2 linked regions of the Xenopus tropicalis genome follow. The protein of the gene in region 1 interacts with the protein of each later gene in a pairwise test. Links are inferred from orthologs where the notes say so. Each region holds a gene or a part of one and is shown on either strand. Other genes may lie near its edges.

The links.
Region 2: the proteins of card9 (region 1) and usp15 interact in binary tests that used the Homo sapiens proteins (3 or more experiments, as listed by UniProt). The two-hybrid records come from large-scale screens. The link is inferred for Xenopus tropicalis from reciprocal best matches to the Homo sapiens genes CARD9 and USP15.

Annotation. Positions count from the first base shown.
Region 1 is NC_030684.2:6,396,534-6,402,149, forward strand, and holds the end of card9 (caspase recruitment domain-containing protein 9), read right to left. Parts: intron 5,455-5,616; coding exon 5,269-5,454; intron 5,039-5,268; coding exon 5,006-5,038; intron 4,908-5,005; coding exon 4,865-4,907; intron 3,773-4,864; coding exon 3,714-3,772; intron 3,338-3,713; coding exon 3,273-3,337; intron 2,443-3,272; coding exon 2,367-2,442; 3' UTR 1,803-2,366; downstream 1-1,802. Other genes in the region: dnlz (DNL-type zinc finger protein), read right to left, coding at 1-12. UniProt on the Homo sapiens protein: Adapter protein that plays a key role in innate immune response against fungi by forming signaling complexes downstream of C-type lectin receptors.
Region 2 is NC_030679.2:62,713,532-62,718,596, forward strand, and holds the end of usp15 (ubiquitin carboxyl-terminal hydrolase 15), read right to left. Parts: coding exon 5,045-5,065; intron 3,249-5,044; coding exon 3,080-3,248; coding exon of another isoform or gene 3,063-3,079; exon of another isoform or gene 3,018-3,062; intron 2,527-3,017; coding exon 2,504-2,526; 3' UTR 1,125-2,503; downstream 1-1,124. UniProt on the Homo sapiens protein: Hydrolase that removes conjugated ubiquitin from target proteins and regulates various pathways such as the TGF-beta receptor signaling, NF-kappa-B and RNF41/NRDP1-PRKN pathways.

The DNA.
Region 1 (5,616 bases):
CGGAAACAGCATGGCTGGAAAAAAATAATCCAACTGCGCGGTGCCGGAAGTGACCTCGCTATAAAGGCCGGAAACCCGATGTAGTACGGGCGGCCATATTGGATTTGGGCAGATAACAGTTACATCACTCAGTGCTGAATGGGGAGAAGTGGAGATGGAATTTGTGTGGGGCAGATTATCCCCAGTTTGTATACAGGGATTAAGGGCAATTAATGGGGGCTTCTCTCTACTCAGGGTTCCCCAGAACTCAGGGTGTGGGGCCCTAAGTGACTTGTAGGTACAATGGAAGTCCTATGGCACTGAGTGAGAATGGGGCAACAAACAGCCCTAGGGGCCATATTGCTGGGTAGGGACAGTGGAAGAGACCATTACAGAATAGGGCAATGGGTTTCCTCAGGACCCCCCCCCCCTCAGTTTATGAAATGGTAACAGCCATAGGAAAATAGCATTGTATGAAGCCCCCGGCCAGTGGGGGTAAGGTAAAATGGTGCCGGATAACAGATGCCGTGGGCAGTCCGGGCCCCTCCGGGGTTATGGGTTCTGCTGTACAGTATCCCCCCACTGATAGCTTGGCCAGCGAAACCATCTTCACCCCAAATCTCACTCTGATTGGCCCTCAGGCTGAGTTCCCCCCCCCTCAATAACTAAAGCCCCCTGGGGGCAGCATAGGCCTAGCCCTAGCCCAACCTGTGGGTCGGGACCCCTTTGGGGGTGGAATGACCCTTACACAGGAGTTGCCTAAGACCATTGGAAAACACACATTCCGGTGGTTTTAGGAATAATTTTATGGTTGGGGGTCACCGCAACATGAACTGGATTACAGGGTCGCGGAATTAGGAAGGTTGGGAACCCCTGGCCTGGCGGGTAATTCCCCAGCCTATTACCCCACCCCGCCTGCCCATTTCCCCCACCCCATATGTAAGACACACCCCCAAATGACATCACATACTGCATGAATGAATGGGTATTGGGGAGTTGTATCAGGAGTCAGAACCAGCAGTGCAGGGAAGGGAAAGGGACAGACACAGTGACAGTTACACATAACTATAAACCCAGTGAGAATGAGGAATGAATGGATATTGGGGAGTTGTATCAGGAGTCAGAACCAGCAGTGCAGGGAAGGGAAAGGGACAGACACAGTGACAGTTACACATAACTATAAACCCAGTGAGAATGAGGAATGAATGGGTATTGGGGAGTTGTATCAGGAGTCAGAACCAGCAGTGCAGGGAAGGGAAAGGGACAGACACAGTGACAGTTACACATAACTATAAACCCAGTGAGAATGAGGAATGAATGGATATTGGGGAGTTGTATCAGGAGTCAGAACCAGCAGTGCAGGGAAGGGAAAGGGACAGACACAGTGACAGTTACACATAACTATAAACCCAGTGAGAATGAGGGATGAATGGATATTGGGGAGTTGTATCAGGAGTCAGAACCAGCAGTGCAGGGAAGGGAAAGGGACAGACACAGTGACAGTTACACATAACTATAAACCCAGTGAGAATGAGGAATGAATGGATATTGGGGAGTTGTATCAGGAGTCAGAACCAGCAGTGCAGGGAAGGGAAAGGGACAGACACAGTGACAGTTACACATAACTATAAACCCAGTGAGAATGAGGGATGAATGGGTATTGGGGAGTTGTATCAGGAGTCAGAACCAGCAGTGCAGAGAAGGGAAAGAGACAGATACTAATCCAATAGCCGCCCCACCTGACCGTTACATACGAGACCTCCAGCTCCGGATCCCCTACAACTCCCAGCAGCCAAGAGTGAGATCACGTGACACATAAAGGGTAAGTAACACACAGCTTTGCGTATGGGTTTAATGCTTTAGCCACAGTACAGAATTGCTCTTTAGTATAAAAACACAGGACTTTACATAACATAGCTTTATATAACATAGTAGCTTCTCGTGGCACAGCTTATTCCTAATGGGTTGCCCGGGGGCATCGGCAATAGGTCCAATTCTACAGGGCCCCTAACTAAGGAAAATTCCCATCATCCCTTTCTTATTTCCACCATAGGCCTGTATAACCCTGTCTCCCTCTAGTTGCTGGGAGACTGGGCCCTGGGTGTCGGAATCTTTGTGTGGCCCTAGGGGGCCCCAGTCCAACACTTCTTGCCTGGAGGGGGCGGAGCTGCCTGTACCACTGTGGGTGGTTTGGAATGTAAACAAAAAACACTGTACTTGCAAGGGGGGCTTTCGTTGTCGTTAAGGCTGTGTTTCAGGGCCCCCCCCCACCGACAGCACGTGGGGGCGGGGCTTCACTTAAAGGCTCCAGTCTCCATGCTGCAGTCTCTCCGTCCAGGTCTTGCTCTTTTCTTCAAAGCCAAGACTAAAAAAATATAGCGTGGCCCCTAAGGGGTCCCCTCAGCGTCACTTTCTGTAGTGTAATATTCTTCGGAGTTCCTCCGCGTTTTCAGCACCCTTTTCCTTAAAGAAAGAAAGAAAAATGTCATTCTATGCAACTGAGAGAAGGGAGGGGTTTGTTTATACAGAGGCTTCTCGGGGGCGGGGGGGAAATAATGTTTAATAAAAGAAAGAAAATGTAATTCTTTGCAAAATTTCCAATGATAGGCTGCTGCTGAGGGAAGGGAGGGGTTTGTTTATACAGAGGCTTCTCGGGGAGGGAAATAAAGATTTAAGAAAGAAAGAAAATGTCATTCTATGCAACAGTTCCAATGACAGGCTGCTGCTGAGGGAAGGGAGGGGTTTGTTTATACAGAGGCTCCTCGGGGAGGGAAATAAAGATTTAAGAAAGAAAGAAAATGTCATTCTATGCAACCGTTCCAATGACAGGCTGCTGCTGAGGGAAGGGAGGGGTTTGTTTATACAGAGGCTCCTCGGGGAGGGAAATAAAGATTTAAGAAAGAAAGAAAATGTCATTCTATGCAACAGTTCCAATGATAGGCTGCTGCTGAGGGAAGGGAGGGGTTTGTTTATACAGAGGCTTCTCGGGGGGGGGAAATAATGTTTAAAGAAAGAAAGAAAATGTCATTCTATGCAACAGTTCCAATGACAGGCTGCTGCTGAGGGAAGGGAGGGACTCGTTTATACAGAGGCTTCTCCGGGGGGGAAATACTGTTTAAAGAAAGGAAGAAAATGTCATTCTAAACAACATTTCCAATGACAGGCTGCTGCTGAGGGAAGGGAGGGGTTTGTTTATACAGAGGCTTCTCAGTGCTCATACAGATATGAAACACATGGCAGGGGGAGGGGCATGCTGGGAAGTGGGTGGGACTGTAACCATAGTAACACGTTACCTTCGGATGTCTTCAAAACTGTTATTGACCTTCCTTCTAATGCCAAATCCATTTACCGGACTGCTCTGGAACACAGGGAATGCTGGATTAGATACTGATTGGCTGCCTTCTTTTCATTACATGCTGATTGGCTAGAGTGGTTCTGGATGATTACTGGAACACTAAACTGGCGGAGATGCTGATTGGCTGCCTTTATATTCAATGAGATGCTGTCAGCCCTAACAAAGTGCAACAGAAAGGCAGCCATACCATGTGACCATTCGTACTGAGCCCGCCCCCTGATCACTTGGATCTGTCTCAGCCAGTGTACGGCTGCCTTTAACCCAAATGTCTAACCATTGGCTGGATTACAAATGCCTGTCTGTCAAAGGATGCTGGGATTTGTAGTTCTGGAGAACATCAGGTTTAATATTCCCTAAAGAGTTATCAGTTGTTCCTTACATTCTGTGCTTGCGCTGCCTCTGCCACGTTCTTGGAATTGGGGTTATTCTTCTGTTCCTCTGTATGTGGGAGAGACTGCTGGTTACATACAGATATACACACGATAAGCTCCACCCCCATACTGTACTGTCTAAGGGAAACACTATGGCACCTCCTACCCATATGTATAAATACAAATATACAGAGAAGGAATGTTCTGGGCACACAATAAGCTGTACCCCCATACTGTACTGTCTAAGGGAAACACTATGGCACCCCATACCCATATGTATAAATACAGATATACAGAGAAGGAATGTTCTGGGCACACAATAAGCTGTACCCCCATACTGTACTGTCTAAGGGAAACACTATGGCACCCCCTACCCATATGTATAAATACAAATATACAGAGAAGGAATGTTCTGGGCACACAATAAGCTGTACCCTCATACTGTACTGTCTAAGGGAAACACTATGGCACCCCCTACCCATATGTATAAATACAAATATACAGAGAAGGAATGTTCTGGGCACACAATAAGCTGTACCCCCATACTGTACTGTCTAAGGGAAACACTATGGCACCCCCTACCCATATGTATAAATACAAATATACAGAGAAGGAATGTTCTGGGCACACAATAAGCTGTACCCCCATACTGTACTGTCTAAGGGAAACACTATGGCACCTCCCTCCCATATGTATAAATACAAATATACAGAGAAGGAATGTTCTGGGCACACAATAAGCTGTACCCCCATACTGTACTGTCTAAGGGAAACACTATGGCACCTCCTACCCATATGTGTAAATACAAATATACAGAGAAGGAATGTTCTGGGCACACAATAAGCTGTACCCCCATACTGTACTGTCTAAGGGAAACACTATGGCACCCCCTACCCATATGTATAAATACAAATATACAGAGAAGGAATGTTCTGGGCACACAATAAGCTGTACCCCCATACTGTACTGTCTAAGGGAAACACTATGGCACCCCCTACCCATATGTATAAATACAAATATACAGAGAAGGAATGTTCTGGGCACACAATAAGCTGTACCCCCATACTGTACTGTCTAAGGGAAACACTATGGCACCTCCTACCCATATGTATAAATACAAATATACAGACTGAGACATAATATAAATATAAATACTTACGCTGTGCAGTCTCTGGGTGCTTGTTATCTGGGGAATTGTGGCTCTTTATGGGAGAGAAGAAAACCACAGGTCATACTGACAAGCAAGTCACAAACGGGGGGGGGGGGGGGGGGGGTAATTGCACCCCTATAAAGTACTTACCTCCTGGGGTGAAAGCTCTTCAAAATCCGAGGTCTGAAAGAAAAAAAAAATGGGGTTTATTGCAATGTATGATGCCTAGCGGTGACTATCAGGGGCCCCAATATGATAAAAAGAATTATTAGGGGTGGGGCTTGTGGTGAATGGGTGGAGTTAACTGGATAATGGGTGGGGCTTTAGCATAATTAGGGCATGGCCTGGGTAGATAAGGGGTGAAGTTTGCAATAACCAGGAAGGGATGGGCCACTAGCCCCGTAGCCATTTACCAGCGCTGGAGACTTTAACTTATTCAGGTCGGTCTTCATGGCCAGAGTTTCCCGTTCCATCCTGAACAGCTGGATCTGCAGGTCGTCGCACTTCTCCCCCATCTCCCGCAACTGCCGCCTGTACGAATCCATGTTAATGAGGCTCTTGGAATATTGTGTGTGGAACTGTTCCCTGGTCGTCATGGCCTAGAACATAGACATCCTATTGGGTGTTTGCAGTCTGCATTACCCTTTACTAAGCACAGTTCAGCAGGAACAGCCCCCTAAGTTTGCTCATAGCCTGTACAGAGAGACAACATAAAACTATGGCACATAGGGATTCCCCTGTACTAAGCACAATTCAGCAGG
Region 2 (5,065 bases), on another chromosome or scaffold:
TATGTTGTTCTTTGCATAAGGCTCTCACAACTTGTATGCAATCAAACATGAATAACTGATCTGGTTTTAAGTAAATCCTGCGGAATGGAAAAGGCTAATTAACATGTCTTACCTGACACCAGAAGGGGCAATGTCTGCCTATTACTGGAATTCTAAATTAATTGTAATTGCAATGGCATACAAGCATTTTAAATCAACATGGTCCTCAGCAATCCAAATAACAGCTGCTTCCCAATCATTTGAATGGACTATTGCAGACCCTGCAGCTGGTGGTCAACAAAAAAGTAAATCCTTGTTTCATTTTTTCCCAGTCACATGAACTGAAAGATTCTAAACTGCCCATGTGCTATAATATCCTCTGCATGTGTGACAACCACGGGTCTTGTCTTGTGTCACGTGGGGCAATACAATTGTAACTACCTGATATAAAGAAAAATTTTAAAATTTAAATGCTAATGAAACCAATGACTGGTTATGGATAAGCCACTGGAAAGACACAGACATGATAGCAGGAGGCTATAATTATAATGGAATGGTAATATAATTCACAAATAATGGGAAGGGTGAGTGATCAGCTCCTTTCCATGCAGTAGGCCAATAGCCCCCCTGCCCGCCCACCTCCTAATTGTTACATTTACTACATCCACCTCTTGCAATGAATATGAATGAAATGAATAAAAATGATTAAGCTTAGCCTTAATGCTTTCATTTCTGCATGTAAGAGCAGCTACATATTAGCAGGTGGTTGTGTAGAATGTATGCTTAACAGGGCCCTTGTCTGTAGTTTTGTATGTAACCTATACTTTCAGTGTATGCACCCTTCTATCGTACAGCACTGTGGAATATGTTGGAGCTTTATTATTGTGTTATTTTTAGTACTGTTGTTAGCCTTTATCCTCCATTACATACTGCATAGTTGCATTTGATTGTTATAAGAACATTGATCCACGTGCAGGAAACAACCATAAAGTGACTCACCTTATGTGGCTAAAATAGTTCTAGGTTTTTTCTCCCTATATGAGTGACATTATACTGCTTTCTTAAAAAAATGGTAGGTGTTACATTACCTGCTAAGAGTGTTATTTATCATTATAAGCACATTACACAAAAACAAAACAAAACAATTAAGCCTTCAACAACTTTATTGAAATTTATATAAATAATCATGCACAATTTAAATGTAAACGGAAGTGAACTTAAAGTGCAGACAAACCTGTTACCTCCATCATGCAGAAGGATAACCTTATACATAAAAAAACAAAAATCAAAGCAGCTTTAAAATACCAGGATATAAGACAGAGATGCCCAGCTTGTCCTCCTTTAGACACTGAACTATAGCTTGCACCATTCTGTAACAGGCTTTGGCTATCATGGGATACTGGGAGTCGTAGTTCTAAAGTGGCCGAGGGGGCAGGCTGGACATCTCAAATGTTAACACATTAGCTTTAATACAGAGCTAGAAAGCAACGCCATATCTCATTTCTCCTGGTCAAATGCATTTATTCATATTCTTAATGCCAATGTATAAATAAAATAATTTACCAAAATGTGCACTCACAGAGTGAACTTCTTATTTACAATACACAATTTAAAACCTATTGTATTTTTATTATATTAGTTCAAGTGAAGAACATCATATGTCTTTCTTTAAACAAAGGGACAGGAAAGAAACTCTTCAGGTAGTAGATATGTAAAGCATGTCCCAAAATGTCTAGAGTTCCTGTTATAGGCAGTATACAAAACAACAGTACATTCTTCAAACATGATCACAGGGTAAAGCAGCAAATGAACAAGTTGGTTTACAAAATGTTTAATGGTTCAGATTTTTTTTTTTGGCATCCTGGACCCTTGAATGCAGTTAGCCAACATAAAAGGAAAGGCTTGTATGCGATATACACAGTACAAGTTCTGATACTTGAACATGCAAATGCCAGTTGTCCTATGTCATAGCAATTTTTTCTTTGAGATGAATTGTAAGGCCATGGTGACTTATAAAGGGAGCACACACTGAAAGAAATTCCACAGACCTAACCTGGAGAAAAGTCTAACATTTTAAAGGGGAAAAATTGAAGTGAAATAAAAAGAACATAATTTGAGATAAATCCACAGTCATTGTCACTGACACAGAGTGCCATTTTATAAATGTTACATTTACAGTGTTGTCGGAGAGCGCTGTGCCAACCAACTCACTTATTCAAATTCATAAAATTTACAACACAAAATTGAAACGCATGACTTACAGAAGTTCATATGTATGCACCAATTTTAATTAGTATAACAGGAAGTCAACAAGGGATGAGGGACATTTACATTCAGTTGCAACTTGCTCTGACACAGCATCATGAAGGCCAAATTAAATATGCATCATTAAGTAGAATCACCAAGACAGTCAAACCTATATCACCAAAAGGCTAAAACACCTTTGCTATTTTCCTCAATATCATTTATACAGCTGTTTAGTAGTTTGCACTGATTCCAGAGATGTTTTAACATTAACCTTGGCTCAATGATCCAGCTTTTCTAGGTCTGCGAAAACAAAAAAAACAAAACTCGTCAAAAATGTCTTAAATGTCATTTGCCAAAGCAAATTTGCTTATTACCAGCCTGCTCTGTCAAGTTATAAAGCAACAGCCCACATTTTGCCATTCCTGCATAAGACTAAAATGCATTCCCTCCCAATAAAAGCAAGCCTATGGGCAATTATGGTTAAACTATGGGCCATTTAAGAGTATGGAATAACTAAATCAGTAAAAGCAAACTGATTAAAAGAGCAGCAGAAAAAATGAACTAGTTTGTGACTACTTATATACATTTTGATGGGAATAACAAGATAAACTAGCTAAAAATAGTTTGATCAGTTTCCATAGCACCATCCTTGTAGAGAACTTTGCAACAAAAAGTAAAAAATAAATAAGTAAAACATAAAAAAAAACAAAAAACCCAAATAATTATACAATCTAAAATACCACAATTTGAGGCAACCCCCCCCCCCCACCTATTTTTGGCAGGCATTTCACCTAAGTGTCATTTCTCAGTTGTACTTATGGCATCACAGGCCTCTGCTAGTTAGTGTGCATACAATTTTCATTCTCTATGTCGTTTTCATCTTCATTCGATTCTTCATCGCTCTCATGTGGGGCTCCCGTGGCAGCTGAAGCACCTTGCTTAACTTCTTTGTCAAGGGGAAAAAAACCTGTTCCAGTAATGGTATCTTGCCTTTGATAGAAGAGCACATATGCTGCCTTTGACTGTCATAAAGAAAAGAGACAACATGAACAGCTGCAAAAAGAGAGCTCAATAATAACAAATTTACATGGAGGGAGAATAAGGGAAGGGCAAGTGCCAAGGGCCCTTTGACAATTTTTAGGCTGTGAATACACAGAATTTATATTTTTGGGATCCAATTAATAAAAAGGAAATTATGGAACTGGAGAGGGTATAGACATGGACAATGAGATAAGAAGGTTTTAATTATGGGGATAAACTATATAAGTTGGGTTTATTTATATTGCAGAAGAATGCTCATTATGTATAAATCTTTAAAAGGCCCATACAATCTTTCAGAGAAAACCTGGTATCAGCAGTCAAAAACTACCACTATAAAAACTGCAAAGTGCTCAGAAGATCACTCTGAGTAAACAAGGGCAGCCCTACAAGTAGAATGGTAAATAGGATATATATGTTTTTTGTTAAATGGTTGGTTCACCTTTAACTTTTAGCATGTATTCTTAGCATCTCTTCAATGGGTCTTCATGTTTTTTTTTTATAGTTTTTTTTTTCAGGGGACACTGACTTGTGCAGTCAAAAAGCTATTACCCTGTGAGGCTAAAATTTTATTGTAAATATTGCACAAAAGCCAAAAAGGAAAAAGTCAAAAAAGGCTATTAAATTAAAATTTAAGCATGCAGACTTGGCCCTCAAGTGACCAAAAGAGGGAAAACCAAAGCAATAAAAAGACTTGAGTCCACAATAATCACAAAATATAGTATAATAATAATATAATATAATAAAGATGTTTAATTTTAACTTTTTTTGATTATTGCGGACTCAGGGGCCGATTCACTAAAGGTCGATAAAATGAGTGCTATTTATAGCATGCGTTAAAAATGTTATCACTTCTTATTTTTTTCGACTTAACGATCGATTCACTAAAAGGACAGTGTTAGTGTTATTTTCCGCCGCGTGCAATATTAGCACACAATATTATGCATGTAACCATTACTATCTGAAACTATTGTTCTGAAAATTACCATTTCCCTGAAAAATGGAGGAAGCATCACTCTAGGACGATCACATACTTGAAAAAATCTGACTGCAAACTCCATGTTGTGTTGCCAAAAGCTCACAAACTGCAATGTTGTTTAAGTACCGCCTGCCCCAAGTAGGTGTTAATATTCTCACAGATTAAAGCGATATTTTGTGAGTTTAGCGCTTCATATGTGTTTATGAATCATGCATTAGAATAATGCGATAGAAATAACGCTTTGCGATTGTGTGTTTTTTTGCGCATGCAATACGCGTCTTAACGCATGCGAAATCGGTACTTAATTATCTCGCACTTCTTAACGCAAAAAAGCATGAGATAAGCCCCTCAGTCTTTATATTGCTAAAATTTTATTGTTAACTTGTTATTCATTATCTTTCTGTTCGGGTCCTCTTTCAATTAAACCACTGTAAATTGGACCCTAGCAGCCATATAGCTGCTGAAATCTCAAACTGAATAGCTGCTGAGAAAAAAAAAGCTAAATCATTCAAAAAAAACAAAGACCAATTACGTTCTGTCTCACAATATTACTGTCTACATCATACTCAAATTTCAAGTAAACCACACCTTTAAGATGTAGTTAAGTTATTGCACTTTTGGAGACAATTAGCATACAGTGAAATTTTAGAAAAGTTTGTAAGATTTGTAGTAAATCAAAAAATAAACAGCTTGTCATTGATTTTAATTTTTGAGTTCTAAAAAAAATCCTAGATTCTTCATTATAGGCCAGGTACCTTTAAGATTTAAGGTTAATGCAGAGAAACATTATAAAATACTTGCCACAATCTGTTCTTCAGATGC